4 linked regions of the Neodiprion lecontei genome follow. The protein of the gene in region 4 interacts with the protein of the main gene of each other region in a pairwise test. Links are inferred from orthologs where the notes say so. Each region holds a gene or a part of one and is shown on either strand. Other genes may lie near its edges.

The links.
Region 1: the proteins of septin-interacting protein 1 (region 4) and exosome complex component RRP46 interact in binary tests that used the Homo sapiens proteins (3 or more experiments, as listed by UniProt). The link is inferred for Neodiprion lecontei from reciprocal best matches to the Homo sapiens genes TFIP11 and EXOSC5.
Region 2: the proteins of septin-interacting protein 1 (region 4) and leukocyte receptor cluster member 1 homolog interact in binary tests that used the Homo sapiens proteins (3 or more experiments, as listed by UniProt). The link is inferred for Neodiprion lecontei from reciprocal best matches to the Homo sapiens genes TFIP11 and LENG1.
Region 3: the proteins of septin-interacting protein 1 (region 4) and methyltransferase-like protein 17, mitochondrial interact in binary tests that used the Homo sapiens proteins (3 or more experiments, as listed by UniProt). The link is inferred for Neodiprion lecontei from reciprocal best matches to the Homo sapiens genes TFIP11 and METTL17.

Annotation. Positions count from the first base shown.
Region 1 is NC_060261.1:41,970,774-41,977,634, forward strand, and holds exosome complex component RRP46, read left to right. Parts: upstream 1-2,506; 5' UTR 2,507-2,688; coding exon 2,689-2,797; intron 2,798-3,024; coding exon 3,025-3,138; intron 3,139-3,248; coding exon 3,249-3,370; intron 3,371-3,524; coding exon 3,525-3,668; intron 3,669-4,265; coding exon 4,266-4,448; 3' UTR 4,449-5,129; downstream 5,130-6,861. Other genes in the region: thioredoxin domain-containing protein 11, read right to left, coding at 1-74, 181-378, 475-678, 831-1,061, 1,184-1,394, 1,861-2,072. UniProt on the Homo sapiens protein: Non-catalytic component of the RNA exosome complex which has 3'->5' exoribonuclease activity and participates in a multitude of cellular RNA processing and degradation events.
Region 2 is NC_060266.1:21,388,417-21,395,646, forward strand, and holds leukocyte receptor cluster member 1 homolog, read left to right. Parts: upstream 1-3,011; 5' UTR 3,012-3,196; coding exon 3,197-3,219; intron 3,220-3,448; coding exon 3,449-3,548; intron 3,549-3,718; coding exon 3,719-4,534; 3' UTR 4,535-4,972; coding exon of another isoform or gene 4,973-5,089; 3' UTR 5,090-5,256; coding exon of another isoform or gene 5,257-5,559; 3' UTR 5,560-5,588; downstream 5,589-7,230. Other genes in the region: U3 small nucleolar RNA-associated protein 4 homolog, read right to left, coding at 4,973-5,089, 5,257-5,559, 5,643-7,188.
Region 3 is NC_060261.1:626,119-633,274, reverse strand, and holds the start of methyltransferase-like protein 17, mitochondrial, read left to right. Parts: upstream 1-3,720; 5' UTR 3,721-3,800; coding exon 3,801-3,810; exon of another isoform or gene 3,811-4,363; coding exon 4,364-4,415; intron 4,416-5,222; coding exon 5,223-5,333; intron 5,334-5,352; exon of another isoform or gene 5,353-5,395; intron 5,396-5,758; exon of another isoform or gene 5,759-7,156. Other genes in the region: transcriptional protein SWT1, read right to left, coding at 28-146, 320-512, 611-865, 931-1,161, 1,266-1,514, 1,601-1,929, 2,036-2,942, 3,139-3,282. UniProt on the Homo sapiens protein: Mitochondrial ribosome (mitoribosome) assembly factor. Binds at the interface of the head and body domains of the mitochondrial small ribosomal subunit (mt-SSU), occluding the mRNA channel and preventing compaction of the head domain towards the body.
Region 4 is NC_060265.1:1,083,855-1,092,052, reverse strand, and holds septin-interacting protein 1, read left to right. Parts: upstream 1-2,888; 5' UTR 2,889-3,141; coding exon 3,142-3,250; intron 3,251-3,335; coding exon 3,336-3,567; intron 3,568-3,798; coding exon 3,799-3,979; intron 3,980-4,061; coding exon 4,062-5,017; intron 5,018-5,098; coding exon 5,099-5,295; intron 5,296-5,422; coding exon 5,423-5,851; intron 5,852-5,937; coding exon 5,938-6,095; intron 6,096-6,192; coding exon 6,193-6,441; 3' UTR 6,442-6,515; downstream 6,516-8,198. UniProt on the Homo sapiens protein: Involved in pre-mRNA splicing, specifically in spliceosome disassembly during late-stage splicing events. Intron turnover seems to proceed through reactions in two lariat-intron associated complexes termed Intron Large (IL) and Intron Small (IS).

The sequences.
Region 1 (6,861 bases), on a different chromosome or scaffold from region 4:
TCCAGGTGGTTCACTATGTTTTTGATCATCAAGTTGTCGCCGCAATTATAATACTGTACTCCAATTGCTTTCAACTGGAAAAATCATGGCAGGAGAATTTATGAAACAAATGTTAATGATGAAAAAAGAACAGTTTGTGTGATATAAAATTCAAGCTTCAGTTATCCTTAAAATATTTACCAAATTATAGTAGTAGTTATATTGATGAAATGGGTTCCTGGGTGTAAATAGAAACAATACTGGTCCATCCTTCAAATATGGCGCTAGTGTGAGAGACTTGGTGCCTGGGGGTTGCAGCCAAAGAGTAGCTTGATGCAGTGCTCCGCCAATCCACTTCAGTAAACTATCAGATTTCCATTCATTTTCCACAGGATAACTCTGTACAATGAATATTTTATCGTAGCACAATGTTCAACAGATGAATCAAAGGCAAAATCTTATATTTATATATTTTCAAGCTAAACTTGCTCGTACCAATGACTCGTTCCAAAGTAGCAACCTAGCAGAAGGAAACTCCGTAACTCCGTAATTAGATTCTGCAGAAGTGTCAGTAACCACTGCGAATGCTAACTCTTTGTTAGGATCTCTTTCTAGTGATTTAATTGCCGTTTTGTAAAAGACATTGTATCCCGGTGAGTTTTTCAGTCCGATAAAATTAAAGTAACCTATCACCACGGCCTAGAACATAAGGTTTTGTGATAATTTCACATATATGTGGAGATAACTTAAGTGATAATAACAATAAACATGTAGAGGTCGCAACCCAGATTGAACAGAAAGAGAGAGAGAGAGAGAGAGAGGGACAGAGGGAGAAACGTAATCAAACCTACGTCATAGTCTACAATCAGGTTCAGGAGCTGATTTCTGTCTGTTATTCTGAATATTGGGTTCATAAATGCGTGGAGGAAGCGTATCATGTACGGTGCAGTACGAATACCTCTGTACTGAACACCAGGTCCTCGCCTAGGATAGAGCATAAAAACTGGGTAGCTCTGAATCTTGCTGTATTCAGCCCGGCATTCTGAACCCGGGTGCCAGCAATTAATGGCTGCAAAAAATATCTGAAAATTAACAAATTAAAGTTAGTGTGGTTTCCACAAGTTTTTGTAGTAATGTCAAAGGCAAGAAGCAATAATTGAATAACGATTTATGTATAGAACTTAGTAAATGAATTAATGAGAACCTGTTTGTGGTAAAAACGTGCCACAGTTTCAAACTCTTGTCTAACGGCTTGACTCTCGGCATCCCATGGTGCGTAGTACATAACAAAACTGAGATCTGCATCTGTGACTCTTTCAATAGCGGCGCCTAAATGACCTTTGTAAAAATCCAAAACAAGCGAGCTTTGGTTAAAGAATGGCCGAGCTGAAGGAGGTTGTGACACTTTTGGTGGCCTGTAAATACATTCAAAGTTGAGAATTCGCTATTAAACTAGTTGTTTATCAGATACGTTATACATGTATTTAATCAACTAAAAAAATCTATGAGAGATCATGTTTTACAATTAAATGCAGTCAAGGTTTCATTTGATGTTTTTGAAAGTAATATTTGAGAATTTTACCGGTTTTTATTGAACATTGATTTCTATAGTTTGACTCCGCTTGCAAGTAACGATATTTGACACTTCCTAAATTTGATTCGGATCATACATATTCAAAAATATCAGTAATAGAACGCCGTTGTAAAATAGTGTTGTTAAAGAATATCCAAAGGTAAAATGAATGTTGAAAAATAATTTCTTCTACAATGTAATTCATGATATTGGCATTTGATTTTTTTTACAATATGCTAGATGATTAAAAAACGTAGAATTATTGAGGTGAGTTGGCGGATAACCTTAACTATTTTTAAAAAACTTACGAAGTGTGAAGAGCAGCTAAGGTGGTGAATAATATTGCAGCAAAGAAACATAATTCTTTGCCATAGTGTAACATTTTCGAGGCTAATCGTTCTTCTAGTGCGGAGCTCGTTGCGAGTGATGTTTGGACCACGTTATCACTTCCTGAATCATTGGTCGGCCGCAAATTATCACCATTTCTTTGCGGACTTGTGTCGCGTTCTCCACTGGTCATTATCCTCGAAATTAAGGAAATAACGAAGGTCCGACGGGGGGATGATTGCCGTCAAATTTTCGTCACGTATCGCGTCATCACTCGGGCCTACTTATCTTTTCATGGGGATTATATTAACTGAATTACAAACGATTAATAAACTCGCGCCCCAAGGTCCACACATATGTCACCTGTGCTCCATCTTTTTCTCCCCGGTGAACAGCTGACCGCTTAAATCCACTCGTCTTAAACGACATTAGTGTACAAGTATCGAAATTTCATCTCCAATTAAATTGAACTTATAGAATGTCCTTATACATTTTCAGGGTTATTACAATACGTCTGCTTCCGAATCGCACGTGGCTTATTTTTTATAAATAACGTTTTGACTTGAATCGGCTGCTAAACTGTCATGGAATTTTTTGATACTCTGCAGTTGGCACCCTGCACATCTTTCCGCTATATCTAGGGATATCCTGACGTGGACCAATGAAAAGCCGCGACGCCGAGTTTCTGGATATCCCCATGTCGTACATCTCATGAGCTTTAACTCTGGCGTCGATGCAACGCGTGTCTTCCATTTGTCTGCTCCTAACCTAGTTCAAATTGGAGCGGCGAAGATAGAAAACGAATTGAAATGCAAAACCAATTGGAAACTACGGAGGAAGAGGAGTGCGTTTTGAGACCGATGAACTGTGAATTAAATCAGCTGAGCAGACCGGATGGTTCGGCAATGTTTATGCAAGGTAACTAATTCGTGTGAACGGTCGTTTGTTTTCATAGCGTGAGTTCCCATTTATTTTGTTTATTTTTTATGTTAGCTATCATCACATAAACATCCAGATTTTACATACCTAGTTTCCTAGATTCACATATTCCAATTTTTCAAATTTATTGCACGGCTCTTTTGTGGTATCTAATATGTACATACCATAATTCTGAACTGATGGTGTTTTCAAATGATCGATTCCAGGTGACACCGTCGTTGTTGCCGGAGTTTATGGACCAATTGAAGCGAAGCTACAAAAGATGATGCACGACAGAGCGACCGTTGAAACAATGTTTAGTCCTGCAAAAGGACCACCGTGTAAGTATTTCTTGACTGCCGACAATCCTGATATTTTGATTATAGCTCTTTAACAGATTATTTCGCTTGTTACGTGATTTAACATTTTGATAATTATTCTGTATTTTAAGGTGTCGACGACAGAGCGAAGGAAACTGTCATCAGGGAAACGTGCGAGGCTGTACTGCTGACTGCGTTGCACCCTGGCATGGCAATAAGCATAAATGTACAAGAACTGCAGGATTCTGGAGGAGTTGGTATTTTTATTGATTAAGTGTTGTACAATACAATTCTATCACTTCACTTTATCGGTTCATTACAAAACAATCGATTCCACTTTACTTCCACTTTTCGTTGTGTCTTTTATTAAAAGAGATAATACTCACGTGTTACGTACAATTTTGCAGTTACTCGCCTGTGCCATTAATGCTGCTTGCCTGGCGCTCATAATCTCCAGTATTTCTATGAAATTCACTGTCGCTGCTGTATCCTGCATGATTGACCGCGAGTCCGGCAAACTGATTGTAGATCCTGATAGCACGCAAATACAGGTTTCTAAAACTTATATTTATATATTTGAAATATTTCAAGTAAAATTCATATTCTTTCACACATTTATAAGTATTAAATGCTATTGGTATTTTCTTTTTTTGCCCAGTTTGAACTATTTGGAAATAATCTAACTTTCTACAACTAGAACCTTAGGTTGAATTTTCAAGTAAAGCCTTAATCGCTAATTTTGATCAAATTGTTTTTGTGCTCTGTCAACAAATTTTAAGGAGAGACGAGAAAGATCACAACTTTCTTCATGTATTGTCCTTTATATGTTTCTAAATGTTAATCAGAGCAGAAATGACAAACCAGCGAATTTTGTCTAATTTTACTTTCTGAGTCTCAGAACACCTAGTTGAGTCAATTTCGTAATTCAAAAGTGTGGTATTTGTTTTAAATATTACCTTCATGTATAAATATTTCCTTTAATCCGAACTTTATGGAGTTATAATTTTGAAGTATGAGCATTAGTTTTGAAGGACGCTGGGCCTAAAACAACAAAAAATGACGTATTATTATTGTTACTTTGTTTCAATTCCTTTCAATTACTTATCATACGTAATTCTAATATATTTGATAATAATTGAAAATTGCAGCAGGCACGGGTCACGTTCACGTATGTTTTCGAGGGTATAAAAAAGGACTTGGTGTCTTGCCACACAACTGGTCGATTCTCGGAGAACGAGCTGATGGAATCTCTAGAAAAGTGTCGAGCAGCAAGCCAGAACATCTTCGATTTTTATAGAAACATAGTTGAACAATACGCGATTAAATTATGAGCATATTTGCATGCGATAAATTTATCGACGTCGAATTCGCACCCGTAAATTGCTGAAAAATCCAATGATTCAATTCTATAACTAGCACTTTACGTATATTTCCGAGCAGTGGGAGATCGATTGTATGTATATAAAAATAATTAGGCGGTGGTATACTCGATCCGTTTCGAGCTGAGGAATTTAATAACACCGGTTAAAACGGCCTCCGCGGTGCAGGTGATTCGGTACAGCGAAATAGCGATCGTAACTTTGATTCCATTAAATACAATAAGGCTACCAGGAATACTGACTGAACTACGTTTAGCCGCGAGGTTTCCCCCCGGGGGCCCGAAGCTGCGGCGCAGTCTTGCTGACCATTAACAAGAAGCGAAGCAATTTATGGTACGGTTCGCTCATTCCCACTTTATTATTTCTCGTCGTAGCTGAGTAGATGTTTCTCTGCTGCAGTCGCCGGTTTCGTTTTGCTTACCGAACAGCCAGATACAGCGTCAGCTTACAGACATCCTGGCGAGATGCTTCGCATCGAAATTCTGCAAACCTTTCTCATCTTGAGGCTTCCTCATTAACGTGATTTGAATGTGTGTATATATATATATACATTTATTTTAAGCCTGAAGATAATTGATGACGTTCATGTGCGTCGATGTCATATATTTCATAATAAACTGTTTTTCACTTTAACAATGAGATTCCCTTTGTTCCACTACGTTAAATGGCATTTTGAATTTCAGGGTTTCGTAAAATATTTTAACGCAAAATTGCATCTTGGACTGACAAGACTCTGACTTGATATAGTTAAGAAATGAGCTTTCATCGGTTTTTTTTTTATCTTCCGCGAGAAATAATTATCATTATTCTTTTAACGTCTTCAAGATTCCAAGCATCTTCTTACCATTTTCTAAAAGCGCATTTTTAATAATTCTCTTCATGACGTTCTCCATGACGTCAGGCGGTCTCTGACAAATGGGAGACAAGGGATAGTTGCGAGCACTTTGAAGAAGCAGCGAAGCTTTTCTCGTCTCCCGGAAGGTTGCACTGGCACGACATATGTCGTCAGAAATGCTGTATCCAATTGTATGACAGTTTGTTTAGAAAATCCACAGTAATTATCAATAACGGTATCTTCCGAAAAAAATGAAAAGGCTTTCCTCGGAATAATTATTTTTATTTCTTTTCTGAATCGATACTATTGGAAAATAAAATAAAAAAATACTAATTTGCATACGTATTTCGCTGTCGCATGGAAAGACACAATTACGTGTAATTTTCCACCTAATTAAAAATACCATTTTCGGCTGTTAACGACAAAAGTGAGTGGGGGGGGGGGTAAATGACGAGTTCGTATGTAAATGTTGAAGGGTTAAATGCTGAGTTGCGGCGAAGGAAGGAAGGAAGGAAGAGAAAGAGAGGAGGAGTCTTCGACGCGCATCAGGTACTGAGTTGGGGCTACCTTATACTACACCATATCTCGGCACAGCTCAGCTCCGAACTCACCATTTTACGAGGTATAAAAAATAGACAGACTACAAGTTCCCGAGAACCCTATTGGCGCGAAGACTGTTATTATGAAATTAGCATTTAGCGAGGGCCATCCGGTCGAGGTTGTTAGGTATACATATGCATATATATATACATTATATACATATACATATATATATACACACACGTAGGCATGCGGTGTACAAGCTGTAATAGGAGGGCAAGAGGTAGGAAGCCGAGAGGTAATAAGGAGGTAATCGCTCCGAGAGAACCCTCATTGGACCGGATCGGACCAGGTCTTTCGAACTCGGAACCAGGTGCCACCAATCGCATACTTCAACGTGCTCCGCGTTTCATTGGACGAATTATTTACGAGCCCTGCACGCGAACGGCCGAATGAGCCTGGAAAACTGCCGGTTTGCATGTTGACGTTAGACCGCTTCATTCCAGGGTGATCCTCGAAGTTCCCGTATAACCACCGAGTCGTACAACGCGCATTACGAGCGGGCACCTGTAATCTTATAATTATAATCCCGATTCTCGTCTTCCCCAAGCCGCGATTTGTCTTTGTCCCGATTCGACCCGGCTTCCCGATCCGATTCCGGACTGCTGTAATCCCACACGGAAGAATTCGAATCACTCCGCGACGAATCGTCTCTCGAAACTTTCTCGCACTGCAGCTGAAACATACAGAGATGGTGTATAAGGAAAAACTCGCAGTTCCAAAAAGAAGAAAGATGCTGTCCCTCCATCATCAAATTCCTCACATCCGGTCATGCTTCGCAATGCTGAACGCGTCTTTCGCTTCTAAACCGGTCCCAAAGCTTCTCTTTTCGTAAGGGTTTACACCTTTTCGAAAAACGATGGACCAGTATACTTATATAATCAATAACTTAACGTGTTCAAAATTACTTTCAGTGTTTGTTTGTTTTTT
Region 2 (7,230 bases), on a different chromosome or scaffold from region 4:
TCAAAAAAGATATTCACTTTAATAAATCAAAGCAGAAAGAGATGTCAATTCAAACAATTTAGAATGTCTGTTCAATACAATTAATAATCGAAGCAACGAATATTAAAGCGAATATCATGTTGGGCTCGACCCATTTTTTGGCAATATATGGACTTATGTGATTGTGCTAACCATACCTTTGTCTGTTTCAGCTAATCAAACCTTTTGTCTGTTTCAGCTAATGAAACCTTTTATCTATTTCAGATAATCGAACCTTCTGTCTATTTCAGCTAATCCATATTTTTGTCTGTTTCAGCTAATCAAACCTGTTACCTGTTTCAGATAACTGAATCTTCTGTCTCTTTCAGCTAATCAATCTTTTTGTCTGTTTCAGCTTATCTAACCTTTTGTCTGTTTCAGCTAATCAAATATTCTGCCTCTTTCAGCTAATCAATCTTTTTGTCTGTTTCAGCTTATCTAACCTTTTGTCTGTTTCAGCTAATCAAATATTCTGCCTCTTTCAGCTAATCAATCTTTTTGTCTGTTTCAGCTTATCTAACCTTTTGTCTGTTTCAGCTAATCAAATATACTGCCTCTTTCAGCTAATCAATCTTTTTGTCTATTTCAGCTTATCTAACCTTTTGTATGTTTCAGCTAATCAAATATTCTGCCTCTTTTAGCTAATCAAACCTTTTATCTGTTTCAGCTAATCGAATCTTCTGTCTGTTTCAGCCCGTCAATCTTTTTGTCTGTTTCAGCTAATTAATTTGTCTTTATATTTTTTACTTATCTAAGTTAATTATATTTTTGTCTATATCTACATATGTCACTAATTATATTTTCATCTGTTCCAGCTAACTGAGTTTTATTGACTATACTAAAAAATTAACTTTTCATTTTTTAGGCTTAGATCTGGTTTAGTGGTTAATTGTTTTGCGAATTGACCTCGTTCTCCATTTTAGTGATTATCTCATACCTCATAAGAAACAAAAACCTGCGCACGAATATCCATAGTCAATCATCCTTCATCCATAACTAAAACAATCATCTTTCATCCATAATTAAAACAGTCATCTTTCATCAATAATCAATACTCATCGGGTTATATGGATTGAAAAATTTCGAATAAAGTGTGAATATATGCGAGTACATTCAACTAAAAAAGTTGGATGCGAGTACAAAGTAATTGGGAAAAATAATTTACTATAATTAACATGTGAAAAAAAGTCATTCGCAATTTTTCAAAGAACATAAAATCGATCTTGCAAGTATTCTCCGTGGAATAGGCCTACTGGGGATACCACGTAAAAAAAAAACGCGCCGAGTACCCTACTGCTTGCGGTGGTGTGGAAACGAGCATAAGTGAACTTATTTTAACTGGTCAGATACTAACATATTGTAGTTTTTCAAATGACAATTTTAATCTTGCGTGAATTTAACTCATTGCCAATAAAACTCATGCTCCGATAATGTCTTAACGCATGTGGAGTCGTAATATCTTCGGATTGCTGTAGTTTAGTCAGAGTGAATACACGCGTAAATACATTCTGTTTGTTAAATTTCGTTTTTTAATGAAAGTCAACAAGGTGCACATACCTTTGGCAATTGATTGGCAATTCAAACATCTTTCTCCCTCGCTTGACCTTTCGCAGTTGACACAGTAAAATCGCTAAATTGTAAAATTTAAAAGTTTTACTCCTTACTCATTGAACAACTCGACTTTTCGAAAAAGTTGGTTCAATTTCAATTGTCTATCCGGCATAGCATTCCCAGTATTTCTTTCTTGAATTTTTTGTATTACTAACTTTTGTATTAATAACTAACCGTTTTACGCGTCAGTTGTCCGCCTCGCCACCAATTCCAAAAACAAACATTGTTAGATAGCGATCTTCACAGAAAGAGTATCACTTGGAATTTAACGGGCCTATGTATATTTCTCCAAAACGGACAATCAGCCCACCACCAGAACCCGATGCAGTTCGAACAACTCATCAACGATGTATATTTCTTGGATGATTACCAAGAAATTACATGAATTACTGACAAGTTCTTTGTAATTTTAACATATATAATGTAACTCATTGTCGTATTACCAACGACTCCTCTTCACTCCGTAAAATTCTTCTTCTATCTAAGTCTGCAAAGTTTGTAAATTCTGTTTGCGGAAATCTATAGAAATACTGCGATAGATCAGAATCTTTGGATTGTTGGAAGCAAAACACTCTTGAAGCTACCAAAAGGTCTTACAACCTTTCATCTGTGTTTTTTTGACACATATCGTAGATAATTGATAATAATTTGGTTATACGGAATCAGGAAAATCCATTTTTGGACTAAACATTAGTAACAATCGAATCTTACCTAATTTCCAAAAAATATTTACAAGTAGTACTTTTGTGTAGAAAGGTCTGGGTTTTCTGCTGCAAATAAACTGTATTTTAAAAAACCACGGCAATTTAACGTGAGTCGAGAAATTATTTTTATATGTCAGCTGCATCTTCGTTCGGAACGAAGATATGAGCGTTGACTGAAAATATATATTATTACCTTCAGTTAACAGTACGAGTTAAGTATTAAACATGTGTAAAAATTACATAACATATGTACATATAGGAACAACTATATATCTCCATTCTTTGAGTAACTTCTTTAACTATGTATATCATCCTTTGCATCAAGAAAAGGTTTCTAACTGTTAACAATAAACCAGGTGTATGGTTATTGTGCATCTATTTAGGTAACATTATTTTTGTCGCTCCGATAGAGTTAGATTGAGATTGCTGAATTTAGTTCAAATGAATTTGCGTAGTTGAACAGTACACGGCGTCCATACGGATTTATATGAAAAGTTCAGTCTGTTCTCGTTCGTCATTCCAAAGGCATAGTAATATTCGACTCTGCATTATCAGGGTACATGCGGTGAGCGATGAAAACATCAGTTCGTGTCGCCATTATTTACAGATCGCATGCCGGACTGAGTTGCGCGTGTACGGGACAACGCAGAGAGCGCTGCTTAACAATGAATTCATGTCGGCCATTTTCGATCACGAAAAGCCCCATAAGGCTAGCCGTCTTTATGTATTTTCAGTCAACGTTGATATTGTGAAGTGTTATATTACAATTTTCGGAACTGTTCAAAAAAGACTAACAATACAAGCGTTACCGTTTTAGCTGCTGGCAGATATATAATTGTTAGGTTTTTGAAAATCTAATCAACATGAATATTTTACCCAAAAAACGGTGAGTGACAAAATTGATTCAAAAAAATTTGTTACTTTTAGGTTATACGTATGATTGGCTACTCCACAGAATAGCTTTCATGTCACACAATTATTTGTTTTTATTGTTAGCTGTGTTTACAGATGAAATCATAGTAGTACGATTAAAAGTCTTCGATCCATCTAAATTAAGTACTTGTTTATAATGTTGGTATTTCCTTTTTTTTTTTTTTTGTTATTTCGTTCTGCAGATGGCACGTTCGCACCAAAGAGAACATTGCTAGGGTACGTCGAGATGAAGCTAAAGCTGCCGAGGAAGAAAAGGCTATAAAAGCCCGGGTCCAAAAAGCCGTAAGAACTCGTTTTGTACCAATATAATTAATGTTTACGATAAAACGATTACCCAAATATATAACAGAATCATTGACTTGCGTCTCTTGCATTTCTAAAAACCTAAGAACATGATTTATTTTTAAATGAACAATAAATTATCGGCAATTGTTTATTTATCATTTTTTCAGGAAACTGAAGCTAGGACGAATTTTCTCAGAGACCAAGCAAGGCAGAGGTACGACGGTCGTCAAGTTGCAGATGGAAAGGATGAGGGTGCTAAGGAAGCAACAACATCAGAAGCCCCCTTAGAGCACGTAAATTTTTTTGCTGACATCGAAGATGGAAAAACTGATTATAGTAAACCAAATGCTGATCATGAAATTGAGAAAAAGCAGGAACAGGAGAAGTATGAAAAGCAAATTGGATATTTGACTTATTTGGGACAAGATACAAATGAAGCTACTGGAAACAAGAGCTGGTACAATGAACTTCCAAAAAGGCTTTCTGAGACTGAAAAATATGAGGAGGCTGGGATTAAAACAAAACTTCTAAATGACCCGATAAACGATATCAGGAAATACATGAAGATAATGGGCTCAACTTTGCCGTCAACATCGTCACCAAATTTTAAGAGAGAAAAATTAAAAACTACAGATTCTGTGAAAAGAAAACGCGATTCCAGTGACTTAGAATCGTGTACTAGAGACGGTGATCGCAAGAGATACAAAAAACACAAGAGTAAGAAATCAAAAAAACATAAAAGGTCGAAAACTGAGGAGCCTACCCCTAAGCCTAGTGTAGATTTAGAAAAATTAAGAGCAGAGAGATTAAGACGGGAAAATGCTGAAAAATTAAAGACCAAGATGCTGTTAGCTAAATTGAACGGAGACCCAATCGAACCCGCAGTGAAGGAAGTTCCAAAACCTATTATACAACAGAAATATAATTCGCAATTTAATCCTGAAATAGCTAGGCAAAATGCTGACAGACTATATAGGCGGTGAAACTATAGCTAATAATTTGCTGTAACATGTGACAGAACTAGCCTGAATTATATGTATAATTTTTAAATATTCTACTGTCTCAAGTCGAATAACAATGCAATAAAAATTTATTTGTTATAAACAATTGATATTCTTTCTCTATTTTTGGATCACATCTAAGATCATTTAATTTCCCAATACGAAATTGAAGACCTTCAAATTGATTAACATCGGACAACATAATAAATTTTTGAGTTTAGTTTTTTACTTGTCATTCGTGTGTTCGTACTTACTAGGAGGTCACGTTCAAATTATACTTTATATTTATATCGTGTGAAATAGATGACTAGGAATGATCAGGATTGTATGAAGAATGACGGTAAAGTCAAAGTTGAAAATTACATTTTACTTGGTTCAGTGTATCGTCGCACATGTGATATCAGTGTGTTTAGGAATGCTCTACATGCCAAATCGCTTCTGTTTAAGAGATGGTGGTAAATTTTCCGTCAATTTGACCGGATTTAATTCAACAGCTACCATTTCATCATTGACCAACCAACCTAGGTGTACTAAATTCTGAAACAAAGATATTCAAATCAATACACGATATAAATGATTCTTTATTGTAATAATGGATCAGAAAGGAAGTCGAATAAACATGATAGTTAAAATAAGAGGGAAACATGCAATGATGCATCCACTAGGTTTGTCTCTAGTTTAATTACCTATGAGCCTTAACTTACCTTATATTTTTTGACAATTCGAAAAGCTCCTTGAGAATGTGAATTCGTTTCATGATTACTGTTATCCATAGAGTCGCCGTTATCCAATCTGAAAATTTTTGCTCCTGAATTGGGCAAATTTTTCGCCTTATCAACAACGCAGATCATCGTGTTGTCGTGCATTATTATTAAATTTTCATTCCTAGGATCAAATGTTATATGACTGATAGGTATAGCCCGAGAAAGCCATTGTTTTGGCAGTTTTTCCTCTAAGTTTGTAGAAAACTGTGTATAGCGTTTTTCTGTAATACTGTATTCGACGATCTGAAAAATAAAATAGCGTGAATTGACGACTTATTTGCGTAATCCAGCCATTATTCTCACACCCAGACATTTGTTTTACATACCTTGTGATCAGAATACACAATAACTAGATTCAACGTGTTTTCTTGTACAGCCATCGCGGTCGGTGGGCATTTGTACCTAGGCAGTAACCATAGCTTAGGCGCACGAATGTTGAGATCTTTTCCGACGTGATAGATGGCAATGTTATTTTGATAATCAGCACAGATTAAGTATACGCCATCCGGCGAGAAACAGATCAGATTAATATTATCGACTAGTTCTTTTCCAACAGGTATCGTTCCTTCGTAATTTAACGAGCCTGCCTGATTCTTCATAAATATTATCTTTATCTCGTCGTTATCTGTCTTACTACCATCGACCAATACGATCCTAGAATTATCAGGGCTGAATAACATTTTGTGCGCTTTGTGCACAGGCAAATTTGAGGTCTCGTATCGTGAGAGAACAGGGTCGTTATTTACTACATCAAAGTTGAAAATCCTGATGTAAGAGTTCGTTGAGTAAGCTATCATTTTTGAGTCTTTAGTTATGGCGTACGATATTATGCTTTCACTAGCCTTTGTTCTTAGCTGTAGTAAATTGATCGGCTCTTCTTCGAGCTGATGTATTGTGCCAGGTTGAAAATTCTGCTGCGACTTTCTACTAATCGATCCAAGTTTCCATAGTTCAAGGTAGTTGCTGTACCTCAATAGTATGCACCTTGACATTTCACTTAACAGGACACAGGGGGACTGTAAAATGGGTGGATACTTTATCATGGTTTTTGGTGGGTATGTAGACTGTACCAAGTGCCCGTCGACGCCGGCTGAATAGAGTTTCCCGTTTGATTCTACCAACGCTCTGACGTCGTGTTCATGTAGCCGCCTTTCGATACCTTTCACCCATCTGCCGCTAGACTTGATAGTGATTTTTGAGTAGCTGCAAACGGTGGGATCTACACCTGCACAGTAAACAGTGTTCATGTCACTGCTCATAGCGACCGCGAGAATGTCGGCAGTGTGACTTTGGTGAGACTCTATCAACGTTCCCATGTTTGGATCCCAGAATGAAAGAATCCCCCTGGAATCTCCGGACACAACAACATTGTCATTGGTCACAGCCAGGCACCAGACGATTGTTTCCTTGTTCGCCTCTTTCCTAGATGTCGTCATTCTGTGAACAGCGTGACCTGAAACTGCATTCCATATTCTAACTGTATCGATGGACCCAGTGAATATCATTTGCTCCGTAATATCCCACTTTATGCATAATATTCGACCCTCTTGTTTGTCGAATATTTTATCGTATATCAGGTAGTCATCTGTCACATTGAATGTGTTTATATAACCATCCTCTGTCCCAACTGCTATCTGTGTTTTCGATTTATTCACGTCCATGCACCATGCTGCTCCGCCGGTCACTGCTACCTCGTATTTTGGCGCCAAACTTCCCAGGTCGTATTCTATTACCATTCCTACTAGGCCCGTTGAAAACAGCCTGTTGCTCACCCATAATACAGTCTCTACCGAACTTTCCGGGTGACCAAATATCGTCCTTTCTAAGAATGGCGCCTCTTTTACATTCCATATTTCAATCGAGTTGTCGCTTCTGAAAATATGATTTTATGTGTTTAAAGTTAGCAAGATACAT
Region 3 (7,156 bases), on a different chromosome or scaffold from region 4:
AATAAACGTAAGTCATTCGCTATTTACCTTGATGTTAGAACATGATTGATAAGATAGTTCCTGATATTTGTCCGATTTCACCATCTGTACAAGATCATAGCACACTTCTAACATGGTTCTGATGGATTTTAAACTCTGACCATATTCTGAAATCCAAAATCAATGTCGTGTGGAAAATCGAATGCAACAAGAAATTAATTCGCGTATATTTCTATAAAAGAGGAAAAAAAATAGCACCTTTTCTAAGAATTTTTCCAACTTCGGATACTTTTTATATTCGGTTCTGTCTTATTTTCATATAAATACGGAATTGACATACTTGGAGAGTTGAGAAATATCTCTGTCAGTTTCGTAACCATGAATTCAGCCCGTCTTACAAAGACATCACTAATTGCGGCGATCCAGTGTTTCGAGGTACACTTGAGAACGTCCATCACTGACCAAGGAGGTTGAATTATCACGTGCCTTGCCCATTTTTCCCCAAATAATTTTTCCATTTCTTTTGAAACGATCTGGAAGACAATTGTTTGGAGTTAAGTTTACATACTTATGACTAGAAAGTTTGATGAAGATAAAAAAAAAAGTTGCATCAAACTTCTAAAATACCTACAACAGATAGAAAGTTCTTCATTATAGCTTTTGCCTCGCAAAAAATTTCATCCGATGTATCAGCCTCTTTTGAATTAACCGTTTCTGTATGGTTTTCAACACCTTTCACTTGTTTCAGTTGTGTCATAGGGGATTTAGCTTCAATTTCGTTCGCATTCAGCAAAAGCATTGCCTGAATAGATTTATGCCGCCCATAAGTAGGGATATGGTGTATCATTGCCTTGTTGCAGAGATTTTTGTCATTGGATAGCAAAACCTAAGAAAAATAATTCAGTGAATCGGTAAACGCTTAAATTTCTATCAACTCTGAGAGTAACTCACAACTGTACATCCAAATTCTCGAATTTTCAAACAAGTTTGCAATATTTCGTCATCTGGCGAGTCAGTATGATATTTTGTTCTGTTCGAAGCAGCATCTGCAGCTGTTTGACCTTGCAGTCGAGGGTGGTTACTTGAGAAATATTGAAACAACAAGTCAACTGCGATTTTGGCACTTCTTTGTAAGTGTGTTGATTTCCTCTGCAATTTGTTATCCTTTATATAGTCTAATTCCTGTGGCAGAAGAATATCAAATACATGTAAAAAATAATTAAATCTCAAGAAAATTGATTTATTCTTAGAAAATAAATTGTACCAAGTTTTCCAAAAGTACTAACCTGTAATACCATCCAAGGCACTACAACCACAGGTTTATATTGAAATTTCGTTTGATGACAACCCTCCAAAATTTCTGTAACTGTCTTCAAATTTGACAAAAAGACATTGGTGTCGACAACAATATACACAACCGTTTGGTTCCTGTTCTCAGAAACATGGGAAAACTCTAGGCCATTTACAGTACAATTAGGGGGTTTCTGCTCCGTCGCACCTACATCGGTAGAGAGATGCATCCTAACTTCTTGGACCTAAAAATAATGATTTTATCATTAGATTTTCTACTACATGATGATGATTTTCGTAAACTGGGAAAATGCTTTCATATGTATCTCACTTCGACGATGAGTTTTTCCTGTTCAATGGGTTCCCATTCCATTTCTTCAAAAAATGCGGCCTCATCTGCATGTTGTGCCACAGCGTGGTTCAAAAACACATCAGCCCTTTCGTCAACACTACTATCTATGCCTGTTTTTTCCAAATGACTAGTTTTCTTCTTTTTTCTGCCAACTTTTGGAATGTTTGGAAGATTAGACAGGGCAGCTTTATCTGACTGATCATTCTCTTGCTGAGTTTTAATATCTGATGAAGATGACCTGCTTGCGAGCCTTGCTCTGAGCGATCTGAATCGTGATTCAGTATTTTGATAAATGCTCGGCAATGGGTCTGAAATGTAGCAAAAATTCGTCAGAGAAGACAGCATGATAAATTTAGGTGAAAACTTATGTCATCTTAAAACACAATTGTTAGGATCAATTCATTATAGAAATACCTGTCGGGCTAATAGAGCGCATTTCATATACGGTATTGTTCTCAACACTCTTATCGAATATTGTATCGAGTTTACTAGACGTAGCATCTTGTGTTGCCAATCGCCGTGCCACCTTGGCAGATATAGCAGGTTCTATTCTCTTACGGATGGTACTAAGTTTATTCTTTAAACTGTCCAATCTTTTATTGGCCAGATTCTTTTTTTTGTCGACTTTAAGACCTCGTCGGTGTCCTTCTACTTTCAGCTTCTCTGTACGCCTTGACGTAACTGAAGTAGTCGATTTGCTCACAAATGACTCTGCAGCATTCAAGGTACTCCTAACATTGGAAACATTGTCGTCTGGTTTCCTGGTATCAGTATTAGACAATTTAGTGCAACATCTTTGAGTCTTTAATTTGATACTGCTGTTTCGTTTATCCACAAACAGAGGTAAATCCTCATTATTATTCTCGAGCCCCGAGACGTTTGATTTTGCCTTTCGGGTCTGCACAGACTTCGATGTTTTCTCTAAAATTTTTTGCCTCAATGCTTTCATTTGGGGCGTTTCTACTACTCTCGATTCAGAATATTGCTTAGCCCGCTGTGAGCAGAGGGGCAATTCCTCACTACCAAGACGATTGAGCAGTGGCACATCTTGGGTACTATTTTCAGGTACAGAGAGACCTTGCTTTGGCTTCTTCTTCTGGTTAGATTTAGACTTCTGCTTGGTCATTTTCTCTCTCAATGCCTTCATCTGTGGTGTTTCGGATATTTGAGACGTTTCCGAACATCGCTTGGCTCGCAGTAATCGCCGGGGCTTATCATTGTCACTGGAGTTCTGTAACTTATCCAAGGAAGTTGAATCAGGGGAGGTCACGTCGGTGTCTGTTGATAGTTTACGCTTTTGTCCAGCTTTTTCGGGCTGAAACTGTGCAATAAAAAAGAACTGCTGTAATTCAACGTAAATTGACATAAGCATTGGCAGGAAAACACTAAACTTTTGCTGAGCTCGATTTTGGATGAGATAATTAGCGAATTTTCAAGGTTATGAAACATGCGATTGAACACGTAACAAAACTACGTGGTAAGATGAATGTAGTCGAACAACAGGGTGACCCACGTACCTTGTTCGTCTCGTGCGACGGTTCTGTCCAAGACGATTTTCCAGTACGAACATTGAAGTAATAAACCCTGTCGGGAAAGCTTGTTGAATTGACGACGATCCAGCCACTCGGGAGGTTAACTTTACTTTTTTTCGTCGAACTCATTGTCGCATACTCTTCTTCAGCGAAATAATGGGATGATTGATGTAGAGTAATTCAGTCATATTACACTTCAAATTGTGCAAAAGGTTTGGTAACAGATTAACACAACGCACAAAATAATTTATTCAGTTACTAATATATCGTACAAAAATAAACTCTCGTATTTGGCCATTGACTAAGTAACAACTGTGTAAATCGTAAACAGAGATGTAAATATAGCGCGGACTTCTGGGCTCGTTTACACGGCAGCGGGTTTCACTCGTGAGAAGATTTTCCGTTTCAAACTGCCTTCTGATTGGTCTACATGGCGACAGTTGCGGAATCGCCGTTTGATCGACCTTATCAAAAAATCATGCCATAATCACATTTTCACGCAGAGATGTTTAGTAAATATTGTTCTAAGTCAAGGTAAATACTTGTGAGCATAAATATCCATTACTTCAATTAGCAAGCCAGTTGACCAAAACAAGGTTACGATATCTGTTGCAGCTGTAAAAATTTGAAAGAAATCTTACTCGACAATGAATTTCGGTGGGTTCTGTGCTTAAAGCATGTACCTTATATGCTCTCAGGTTCTGTGCACTGAACTATAATACAGTTCGGTTCAGATGACGTTCCTGTAGTATAAACAATAGACAAACGACCGAAGCGCCGCCATATTGACAATTTGCCGCCAATTTAACGGCTGAATGTTGACGTTTTTGGTATTAGTTGTGTTCAAAGTGAGAGAAATGTTACAAAATATCCTGGATATTCGGGTTTAAATTATTAATTCGTTGCTTATAATGGGATTCACGTCGTGTATAATCGATCAACTGCCACTGCGAGAGCATTTGAACAGCAAATTCCATCGGTTCAATTTTCATTCGCGTTGACTTGAACTCGGGTAAAATTCTGGATCATGTTAATCCAATTCTCTGTAAACTCACTTCATTCGGTTCAAATGCAATCTTATTTGATATACTTATACTAACAAGTGCATCGTATTTCAAAGTAGATTTTCGTTTAATTTTCGAAGTGTACAATTAGCGTGCCAATTTGTGTAAGTGATCGTCCATATCGGTGATCCATGGTGTCGTTTCAGAACACAGCAAGCAGATCCACAAGGATATCGTTATTCATCAATGCGAATCACCGTGAGTAATTCCGAATAGAATATAATTTTAAGTTATTTCTTCATACACCCTGAAAAATTAGCTGTCATTTATTTTGTAATGTTTGTACTTATTCAGGGTGGTCACTGGTCAGAGAATTCTGGAAAACCTCGGAAACGTCATGAAATTCTGCAATTCTGGAATAGTCGGGGAAATGTCAGAGGTTTTTGCGTAAAGTCAGGGAATCGTTTACTATATTTTTTTATCATACACATACGTCCCACAATTTTTTTAAGCTTTGGATAAATTAAATCGCATACAAATTTTTTTACCACCGCCGGAAGGTTCTCTTCAAACTTTGAATATTCCTAAATATTACCTTACAACCGATTGTGCGCATCGGCTGGATGGGACAGTGTGACCCGAGTGACGGTTCGTACTTTTATAAAAAAATAAACAATGATGTGGAAAATACGTATATTTTTATCAATTCGCTATAACCAATTTATACGAGTGGTCAGGGATATTTGTTTTAAAAATTTTGGCTGGAAAACCTGAAAAATTCAGGGAATTTCGTATCGGAGATTTAGTAACCACCCTGTTATTTACTGTTAGATTCCAACAATAACAAGAAAAAATTGAACTCGTCGCACCGTTAGAAATTCTGTGTTAAATGTAACACCGAAAATATTCCATAGAGTCCACACTATTGTAGTGTTGATTTTAAGACCACTTGGTGTCAAGAATCGAACGGTTTAGTCCTCCACTGTACATATACAAAACACATTACAGTACAAAAATTCAGCAATTTTGAATTGCCAGTAATGAGTTTTTCCATTAAACTTACAGTCTCCACGGTTGGCTAATTACTACGCGAAACAAGCCGGAATGCATACGGAGGCTATCAGGCCAAGAGGATGCAGCCTTATTGTTGGCAGATATCGTTGCTGTGGCGCACGAGTGAGTAGCGTGATTTTGAAATTGCTGTCCATCATCATCTCCGTCTATCGCGTGGCGGAGAGGTAAAATAGTTAAACTTATGGCTCTCATAAATTTGTTGCGGCCATTTACTATACCCGCGTAGTATTCTATCGTTAGGGGCTAGATTGACTGTAATTATTATTTATCTAAGAAAGAATCAACTCGCCACAATAATTTGACGCTCGTTTTAAGACAAAGTTCTTGAACACGGTTTACCTGAGATGAACGAGGAGTTATCATATTTTGGTTGATCTCGTATTAAGAGATGAGCTTTTAAAATAAAAGTTATCACTTACCTTCAGTCGATTTTGATGGTTCGGGCTGTGGGCGGCTCTGCGTGCTCGACGATGACTATTTATGATATGAATTATCATTAGTTATTAATTAGGTTTTAACTCACAATATAAATTGAACACAATGATTAAGTTTATTCAAATTCAAACTAAGTTGAGATTATAATGTTTGGTTAATGTTATGAAAAATAATATTATTTGATATAGTATTAGAAGCACGGAATTTCTTTAGAGTCATTCAATTCGTTAAGATCTAAAAAAATGTTGTGAATTACCCTGATCGAAGGTGGACGAAGAATTGCTCTGTTTGAGGGATGATTTTCAACTGTCCATGTATCGTTAAAAGATTGTTTGATGGTCGACCCTAGTTAGAAGACGTATCTGGACTGCTCTGTTCAAAGATTTTTGTTGAACTGCTTAGCTTCTACTTAGTGCAACACTTTTTAACGATTTGTACTTTAGTGTGCAGATTTCTAACGCGCTTCCTGATTGGTTCGTTACATTTTCACGGTAGTTATGCCAATGAGGAAGTTCAAGTATGTATAGATGATATTTTGGGTCCAGCGTAGTGGGTTAGTTACGTAATCCCACTCCAGCCTTTCCACGGGTGCGGGTAAGAATTTCCGTACTTGCATCATATATGCAAAGATAACGTATTCTATTATTGCGCCATCCTACCCGAAACAGGTAATATTTGATGGATGGTTTTATTACACTGCGTGTGTACGCCAGATGTCTTGTCCTCGAAAATACCTTTCGGTATTTTCGGGCATCAATTTAGTCCTCAGCAAATGTTAAAAGAATCCCTCCGACGCACGCATGCGGGTGGCTTACCTAAATAGTTATTAAGATTATTTTGTTTCACAAGAAAGAACGGAAAAAAAGAAACAATCGTGCAAGCGGTTGAAGAAAACGGTACAAAATTGCATGATATCAAGAAAACGTATGAAACAATTTAGAATGTACCTAATATCTAAGGGCAGAGGGCATCGAGGATGTGACACTCTCATTATTTCTTTTGAAGCGTATTCAACTAATAACTCACAATCAGAGTGATTGATGCAGTACACAAAATCACCTTTACTGGCTCAAGCAAATCGCTTCGAGAGACATTCACCCTCTATTTTGTGTAGGCAACAATATTTAGTACAAAAACTTAAAACTGATAAAATTGAACGATCAAAAATATTCGTATTAAATTCTCATAAAATAAAAGCTTTTGTTATTTATTTATTTTACAAAATATTGTTGCCTACAAAAAAGGTCTCTTGACATTTTTCATTTACTTCTATAATTTCATGCGAAATTGCCAGTGAGTTAAGGTTAGCATTTTTTACGTGTTATTTCTATGTGTAAAGGAAAACTTGAAAACGGGACCTCCAGATCTCTTCCGATCGAGCTCAAATGTGCAGCAGATTTTTTTTCATAATATACAACAGTTTTATCAGGAGGCAGCACAAAAAAAATGTTTTTTTTCTTTCTTTGTGAACCACTCTAATAGTACATATC
Region 4 (8,198 bases):
TCGGGTTTTCGTTTTTTGGCTGTAACTTTCGATGCGTTGATCGCAGCGTATTGGGACTGCGCCCAATCGATTTCTCTCGCAAAATTACGTCGGAATCGTGCCACAATTAATTTATTCCAGCACTTTTGAAAATCGCGAAAATTTTCGCAAAAAATACAAAGGGGTTAACCTTCCTTTTTTTTTGACCAAAAAATTTTTCGTCTCAGAATTGATTCGTATGACTCTTTCCCGACCAATTGGACCCCAAGGAACTCAGAAAACGCAGCAAAAGGAGCGTGGGATCAACGGGAGAGAAGATACGAGGAAAAAAGCACCTGCTGAAAAATGTCGAAAATTCAGGTTTTCGTTTTTTGGCTGTAACTTTCGATGCGTTGATCGCAGCGTATTGGGACTGCGCCCAATCGATTTCTCTCGCAAAATTACGTCGGAATCGTGCCACAATTAATTTATTCCAGCACTTTTGAAAATCGCGAAAATTTTCGCAAAAAATACAAAGGGGTTAACCTTCCTTTTTTTTTGACCAAAAAATTTTTCGTCTCAGAATTGATTCGTATGACTCTTTCCCGACCAATTGGACCCCAAGGAACTCAGAAAACGCAGCAAAAGGAGCGTGGGATCAACGGGTGAGAAGATACGAGGAAAAAAGCACCTGCTGAAAAATGTCGAAAATTCGGGTTTTCGTTTTTTGGCTGTAACTTTCGATGCGTTGATCGCAGCGTATTGGGACTGCGCCCAATCGATTTCTCTCGCAAAATTACGTCGGAATCGTGCCACAATTAATTTATTCCAGCACTTTTGAAAATCGCGAAAATTTTCGCAAAAAATACAAAGGGGTTAACCTTCCTTTTTTTTTGACCAAAAAATTTTTCGTCTCAGAATTGATTCGTATGACTCTTTCCCGACCAATTGGACCCCAAGGAACTCAGAAAACGCAGCAAAAGGAGCGTGGGATCAACGGGAGAGAAGATACGAGGAAAAAAGCACCTGCTGAAAAATGTCGAAAATTCAGGTTTTCGTTTTTTGGCTGTAACTTTCGATGCGTTGATCGCAGCGTATTGGGACTGCGCCCAATCGATTTCTCTCGCAAAATTACGTCGGAATAGTGCCACAATTAATTTATTCCAGCACTTTTGAAAATCGCGAAAATTTTCGCAAAAAATACAAAGGGGTTAACCTTCCTTTTTTTTTGACCAAAAAATTTTTCGTCTCAGAATTGATTCGTATGACTCTTTCCCGACCAATTGGACCCCAGGGAACTCAGAAAACGCAGCAAAAGGAGCGTGGGATCAACGGGAGAGAAGATACGAGGAAAAAAGCACCTGCTGAAAAATGTCGAAAATTCAGGTTTTCGTTTTTTGGCTGTAACTTTCGATGCGTTGATCGCAGCGTATTGGGACTGCGCCCAATCGATTTCTCTCGCAAAATTACGTCGGAATAGTGCCACAATTAATTCATTCCAGCACTTTTGAAAATCGCGAAAATTTTCGCCAAAAATACAAAGGGGTTAACCTTCCTTTTTTTTTGACCAAAAAATTTTTCGTCTCAGAATTGATTCGTATGACTCTTTCCCGACCAATTGGACCCCAAGGAACTCAGAAAACGCAGCAAAAGGAGCGTGGGATCAACGGGAGAGAAGATACGAGGAAAAAAGCACCTGCTGAAAAATGTCGAAAATTCAGGTTTTCGTTTTTTGGCTGTATCTTTCGATGCGTTGATCGCAGCGTATTGGGACTGCGCCCAATCGATTTCTCTCGCAAAATTACGTCGGAATCGTGCCACAATTAATTTATTCCAGCACTTTTGAAAATCGCGAAAATTTTCGCAAAAAATACAAAGGGGTTAACCTTCCTTTTTTTTTGACCAAAAAATTTTTCGTCTCAGAATTGATTCGTATGACTCTTTCCCGACCAATTGGACCCCAAGGAACTCAGAAAACGCAGCAAAAGGAGCGTGGGATCAACGGGAGAGAAGATACGAGGAAAAAAGCACCAACTGAAAAATGTCGAAAATTCAGGTTCTGGTTTTTCGGCTCTCACTTTTGATGCGTTGATCGCAGCGTATCGGGACTGCGCCCAATCGATTTCTCTCGCAAAATTACGTCGGAATAGTGCTACAATTAAACCATTCTAGCACTTTTCAAAATCGCGAAAATTTTCGCCAAAAATACAAAGGGGTTAACCTTCTTTTTTTTTTGACCGAAAAATTTTTCGTCTCAGAATTGATTCGTATGACTCTTTCCCGACCAATTGGACCCCAAGGAACCTAGAAAACGCAGCGAAAAGAGCGTGGGATCAACAGGAGAGAAATTGAGTAGAAAAATACACCTGCTGAAAAATGTCGAAAATTCGGGTTCTGGTTTTTCGGCTCTAACTTTTGATGCGTTGATCGCAGCGTATTGGGACTGCGCCCAATCGATTTTTCTCGCAAAATTACGTCGGAATAGTGCCAGAAAGAATTTATTCCAGCACTTCTCAAAATCGCGAAAATTTCCGACAAAAATGCAAATGGGTTAGCCTTACTTTTTCTTCATTTTTTGGCTGAAAATCTTTTGAACTCAGATTTGACTTGTATGACCCCGTCCCGTCAAATTATTCCCCGAATAGTTTAAAAACGTGCAAATAGATCGCCACAGCTCCGTCCGATGAGGAAATACGTCAAAAACACGTAGTAATTCCTCTTAGCTGCTAGTCCGTTTATCTCTCATCACCTGTAGTTTTAGACTGTGTACATCCGATTTGTTCTTTAAAGTTTTGTCGATATTTCAGATAGCTACGTCGTTCATAACTTATCTGGCCTTATCGGCATTACAGAATCCTTTATTAGTCGCAGTACCTACGTTACCTACTACGAAATCGCTGGAGTACATCGAGTTTACGAAACCGACCAACGTGAGTCCGCTAGAGAATAACGTAGTTTGAGCATGGTTGTTCACGATTTGGTGTTTTCGACACTGGGATGTTTTTAACATGAAATCACCTGATATTCAATATCTACACAGCACAAGGGTACTTTAAAGTCTTCTGTCATATAGAATAAGTTCGCATCGACTCCAGTTACGTGGTCTCACTCAGAAACGTTCGAGGCATTGGGTTAACCTCAAATTTTTAGATTTTTGATCCGAGATATTCTATCGATCTTATAATGTCTGAGGACGAAGTCGAAAGTTTTGAAATAACAGACTACGATCTGGACAATGAATTCAACATTAATCGTCCTCGGCGAAAACTGTCCAAAAAACAACAGATGCTTGGTAAGCAAAAATCTATTATCTTACTTTGAATTCTCCTAACTCTGTTACATTCACATATTTCTCCATCACTAAATGTAATCGTCAGGAATATGGGCTGATGACAGTGATGAAGAAGAAGTGCCAGCACGACCTTCCTTCAAATCATCAAATCGTGGCCCCAAGAATTACACCGCACCAGTTAGTTTTGTTGCCGGTGGTATTCAGCAAGCTGGACAGCCCAAGGATGACAAGAAAGAATCTGATGGAGACAAAGATGATGACGACGAAGGTGGTCGGCCAAAACGAGGAGATGCTGATTACGTTCCCAACAGTTCTAGGTATAGCTTTTAATATATTTTTTCTACCATAGTTTATGAATTATCAATCATTGTAGTGGTATTAAATATCAGTTTATTGTACAATTTTCTATTCTCAGCACAATCAAACTCATTGTGTCATCAACATAAATTAGTGTCATGAAATTCTAAGCTCTACAATCACTCTTCCACAGCTATCGCTCCCATTCTTACGCCTTTGTACAATCCATATCCTGTTCTTTTACATTCCAGTGACTCAGATGACCAAGGACCGAGCTTCGCTAGAGCAAAGCCATCATTTTCCTTGAATCTAGAAGGTGACATAGCTGGTCTGCGAAAAAAAAGAACATCAGTTAACCCAGTACTTATGAAATCAGGAGTCGGAAGTTGGGAAATGCACACAAAAGGAATTGGAGCGAAACTCTTGCTTCAGGTTAGTACACGGTTCGTTTGTTACCTATTAATGAAAGAATATTCACCTGCGATGACCAGTGTGTCGGATTTTCCTGTTATAGATGGGTTTTGAACCCGGTAAAGGTCTCGGTAAGAAGTTGCAAGGTATAATGGCTCCGGTAGAGGCTCATCTCCGTAAAGGCAGGGGAGCGATAGGTGCTTATGGTCCAGAAAAATTGGCCAAGGTGCCTGAAAAGAAAAAAGACGAGGATGTAGAGGAGGAGAAGGAGTTCAAAGCAAAATTATCGCAATGGCGAAAGGGGGAGACGGTCAGCAAGAAGAAAGTGAGATATTGCTACAGGAGCGTTGACCAAGTACTGGAGGATGGCAAGTTAAGACCGAACCGAAAAGTTCAGTTGAACAGTGAAATGAGCAAAGTCAAAGTCATCGACATGACAGGACCTGAACAACGAGTGTTAAGCGGCTATCATGCAATCGGTGGTGGACAACAGCGACCCGATGAGACTGTTACACCGGTCGATGTAAAGAAAACAGGCGTGAATTTCGCCCTCCCTGAACTCCGCCATAATCTCAATTTGCTAGTCGATTTGTGCGAGCAAGACATTATACAGAACGATCGCCGAACTCGTCATATGTCCGACAGGGTGGTAGCTCTTGAGGCGGAAAGGTCAAACTTATCTAAGATAGTAGACCAGCACGAACAGCTAATGGACACTCTGGAAAACGTTCTATCTATCGTCGATCAGCTCATGGACCAATCCAATGATCTGTCCCTAGAGGAAACTGCAGCAGCCTTCAAAGATCTTCAGGAGAAATATTACGAAGAGTATAAAATGTACGAATTAGGTGAACTTGCCACAGGCCTGGTTGGTCCCAAAGTTAAGGAATTCTTATCTACTTGGAATCCATTGACGAACCCTACGCACCCCATTCCACTATTCAAGCAGTGGAAAAATATTCTTGAAAGTGGCAGAAGCACCTTGCAAAGCGGAGCTCTGCAACCCTACGATCAACTAGTATGGAACTCTTGGATGCCGTCAATAAGAGGCGCTGTACAGTGAGTATTTTTGTCTTCAGAAAATTACATTGTCAGATATCAGCTGATTAGTGGAACTTACGTAGGTGTTGACTCTTTCAGACAGTGGGCTTGCCGGCAACCTGATCCTCTAGTCGAGCTTCTAGAGCAATGGATTCCTCTTCTGCCAGGATGGATACTGGAAAACATACTCGACTTGTTGGTTCTACCCAAATTGACGCTGGAAGTTGAGGAATGGAATCCTCTCACCGACACAGTACCAATTCATACCTGGATTCATCCCTGGTTACCATTGATAGGTAAGAGTAGTTGCTGAAATTTGTGATAAAAGAATGGTAACGGATTCGGAGTACAAGGGATGAATTATTTAAGTTCGATTTAATACATTCTCTTACTTTCCCCATCTCCGTTCATGATTTTCCGTAGGTAATCGCTTAGACACTGCAGTGTATCCGATCATTCGTCGTAAGTTGGGCTCAGCGCTAGGAGGGTGGCATCCTTCGGACAGATCAGCAAGACTGATGCTGCAGCCGTGGTCCCTGGTGTTCAAGAAGGGAGACATGGAAGCTTTCCTGGTGAAGAACATCATTCCAAAACTTCAAGTAGTTTTAGCCGAATTTGTGATCAACCCGCACCAGCAGCATCTGGACCAATGGAATTGGGTATTTGAATGGAACGAAATGCTGCCGATTCACACCATGGCAGGTCTACTGGATAAATTCTTTTTCCCCAAATGGCTTCAAGTCCTGGCTCTCTGGTTAAATCATTCTCCCAATTACGATCAAGTCACCAACTGGTATATGGGATGGAAGGGAATGCTGAGTGACAAACTGCTGGCAGAGCCGCAAATAAAGGGCGAGTATCTGTCAAGTTTTTTCTCACGTAAAGGACGTGTCGCAATAAAACCTAAACGTGCTCATGAAAATATTTCGAATTTTCAGACTACTTCAAGAAGGCGTTGGACATGATGAACAGAGCGGTAGCGGCACCTCAGGGACACCAACCCGGAGCAATGGAACAAGTGTCCTACCTCACAAATCTCGAAAGAACTCAAACCGCTCTACCTCCGTCTGCGCCAGCCGCTCAGCCCAGGATGGAGGTGAGAACAAGAGAAGAAAGATTTTATTTTATCTTTGTATCGCCGTGTAGTTAACGCAGATATCTATAATGACGAGTTTCTATGATTTCCACTTCAGAGAATTGCCGAGGCCGTGCGTACCGCGTCGCAAATTCCACAAGGCTTCAAGGATCTCATACAAAAGCGGTGCGAGGAAAGAGGCATCCTCTTTATGCCCGTGCCAAACAGATACAGGGAAGGGAAACAAGTTTATAAAGTCGGCAACGTTCAGGCTTACATCGATAGAAACGTCGTCTTTGTTTGCCACAACGGATCCACATGGGCTCCGACCCATTTGAACGCGTTACTGGACATGGCTGAGATATAGGATTGTAAATACCATTGTACATACTTGCAGTGAAGTCTTAGAATTTAGATAAATTAAATATGTTCACGATGAAACGATTGTGACGAATTTTAATTATGCGGTTCGCTATGACCCTTGCCATCCATCCATCCTGTTTAAAATATTATATCGGAGATCCGTCATATCGATATAGCTAGCCCATCAACATGTAATTTCAGGCGAATTACACATACGTTTGTCGTGCGGCATTGAGAATATGCGCAGAGAGAAATATTTGGGACTTTTATAATTAAATCTGACTCGAAGTGTTAAATTTTACAATATCAGATGACGTCTCATGAGAATGCTATTGGTAATCAGACGCAAACATCAGACGATGTTGGATTCATTACAAAATAAGGCGGGCCTGAATAATTAATACTGTAAATATACCGCAGTGTATATCTATTTTAACGGTAACCACAAAGCACAAGCAGCTCAATACGTCAGTGTACTTGGGCGGTTTGTTTATTTAATTCCGTATGCCTCATTCGATTCCAGGCGTATCACGCGATTCAACGGGTTAAAATCCGGAAAGATGACCTAGCGCATAAACGAGGGAAGCATAGGCGAATAAGGCATAAATCGGCGGAGCAGCAATAACGATAATTAATGCCTTAGAGAGGTAGGCAGGCAGGCAGGCAGCAGCAGGCAGCAGCTGTGGAGGCAGGGAAGGTTCTCCACCTCTATTTAGCTGTCTCGCGTCGAAGGCGTGTAGGCGCCCCTGGTTATCCCACCACTAAGGTGCAGCTTAAAAACTTCTCGATATGGAAAGTTGTATAGTTGATTCCCGCGGAGACGAGGTCTGGCTACGGGCAGCCAACACCGACGCGACTTCGGTCGCGTTGAATGGGCATCCTTCGCCCACGCGTCATGATCCGCGACATCCGCGACGTCCTTCCCCCCCACCTCACTACTTCGAAGCCAGCGACGAAGGGCAACGCAGTGACTTCAAGACTCCTCGGCATTTCCTCCTGCAGCAGTCACGAACGCGTCTCGCGGTGTTGGGAAATTTGCATCCCGGCAAGATGCGAGAGTGCCTGGTAACTGTCCGTCTCCGCGAGGCTTCTTCCCTCTCTCCGGCACCTATCCAGGACCTGTAAACTCCAACGGTGCAGCCTCTGAGACTCCGGGGCACATTGTCTGATGCCGATCCTTATTCTCTATGCGCAACAAGGAACTCGCGTCACCCGCTATGCGAAGTACTTATTGTATCACGTGTACCTACTCTTGTACACCCGTATATACGTGTATACCCAAGCTATCCTACAACCTTATACACGCAACGTAATTTATGTCGGCGTAAATTGCGGAACGCCGATAAACGCGTATGGCCGCAGCTATCGCTGGGACTCTCGCTATACCAACGTCCGTTTGTGCACGAATTGACGTGCAGTATAGGATCGAGATACCACCTCGCCGTGCGGATACACCTATCTTCTGATTGAAGATCATTCGCTGTTCCAAAATATCGTATTACATCACTATTGTCATTCCTCGTTGTACTTACTCCTGTAATAGGACCATATATTGTACACTGTTATAACGTCGAAGGTTTGTTCCAGTAAACGATCGGACACAAAATCTGATAATCTGAAAATCTTGAATTCTTCGTCAATTATTTATTATTACCAGTTGACCGTGATTCATATGAAGCGTTCTTAAACAAATGGTGGATATCTTTAAATGGGATGGTAAACACGAGTGTGCATCGCGGTTACTCATCATTCATCGAGTGG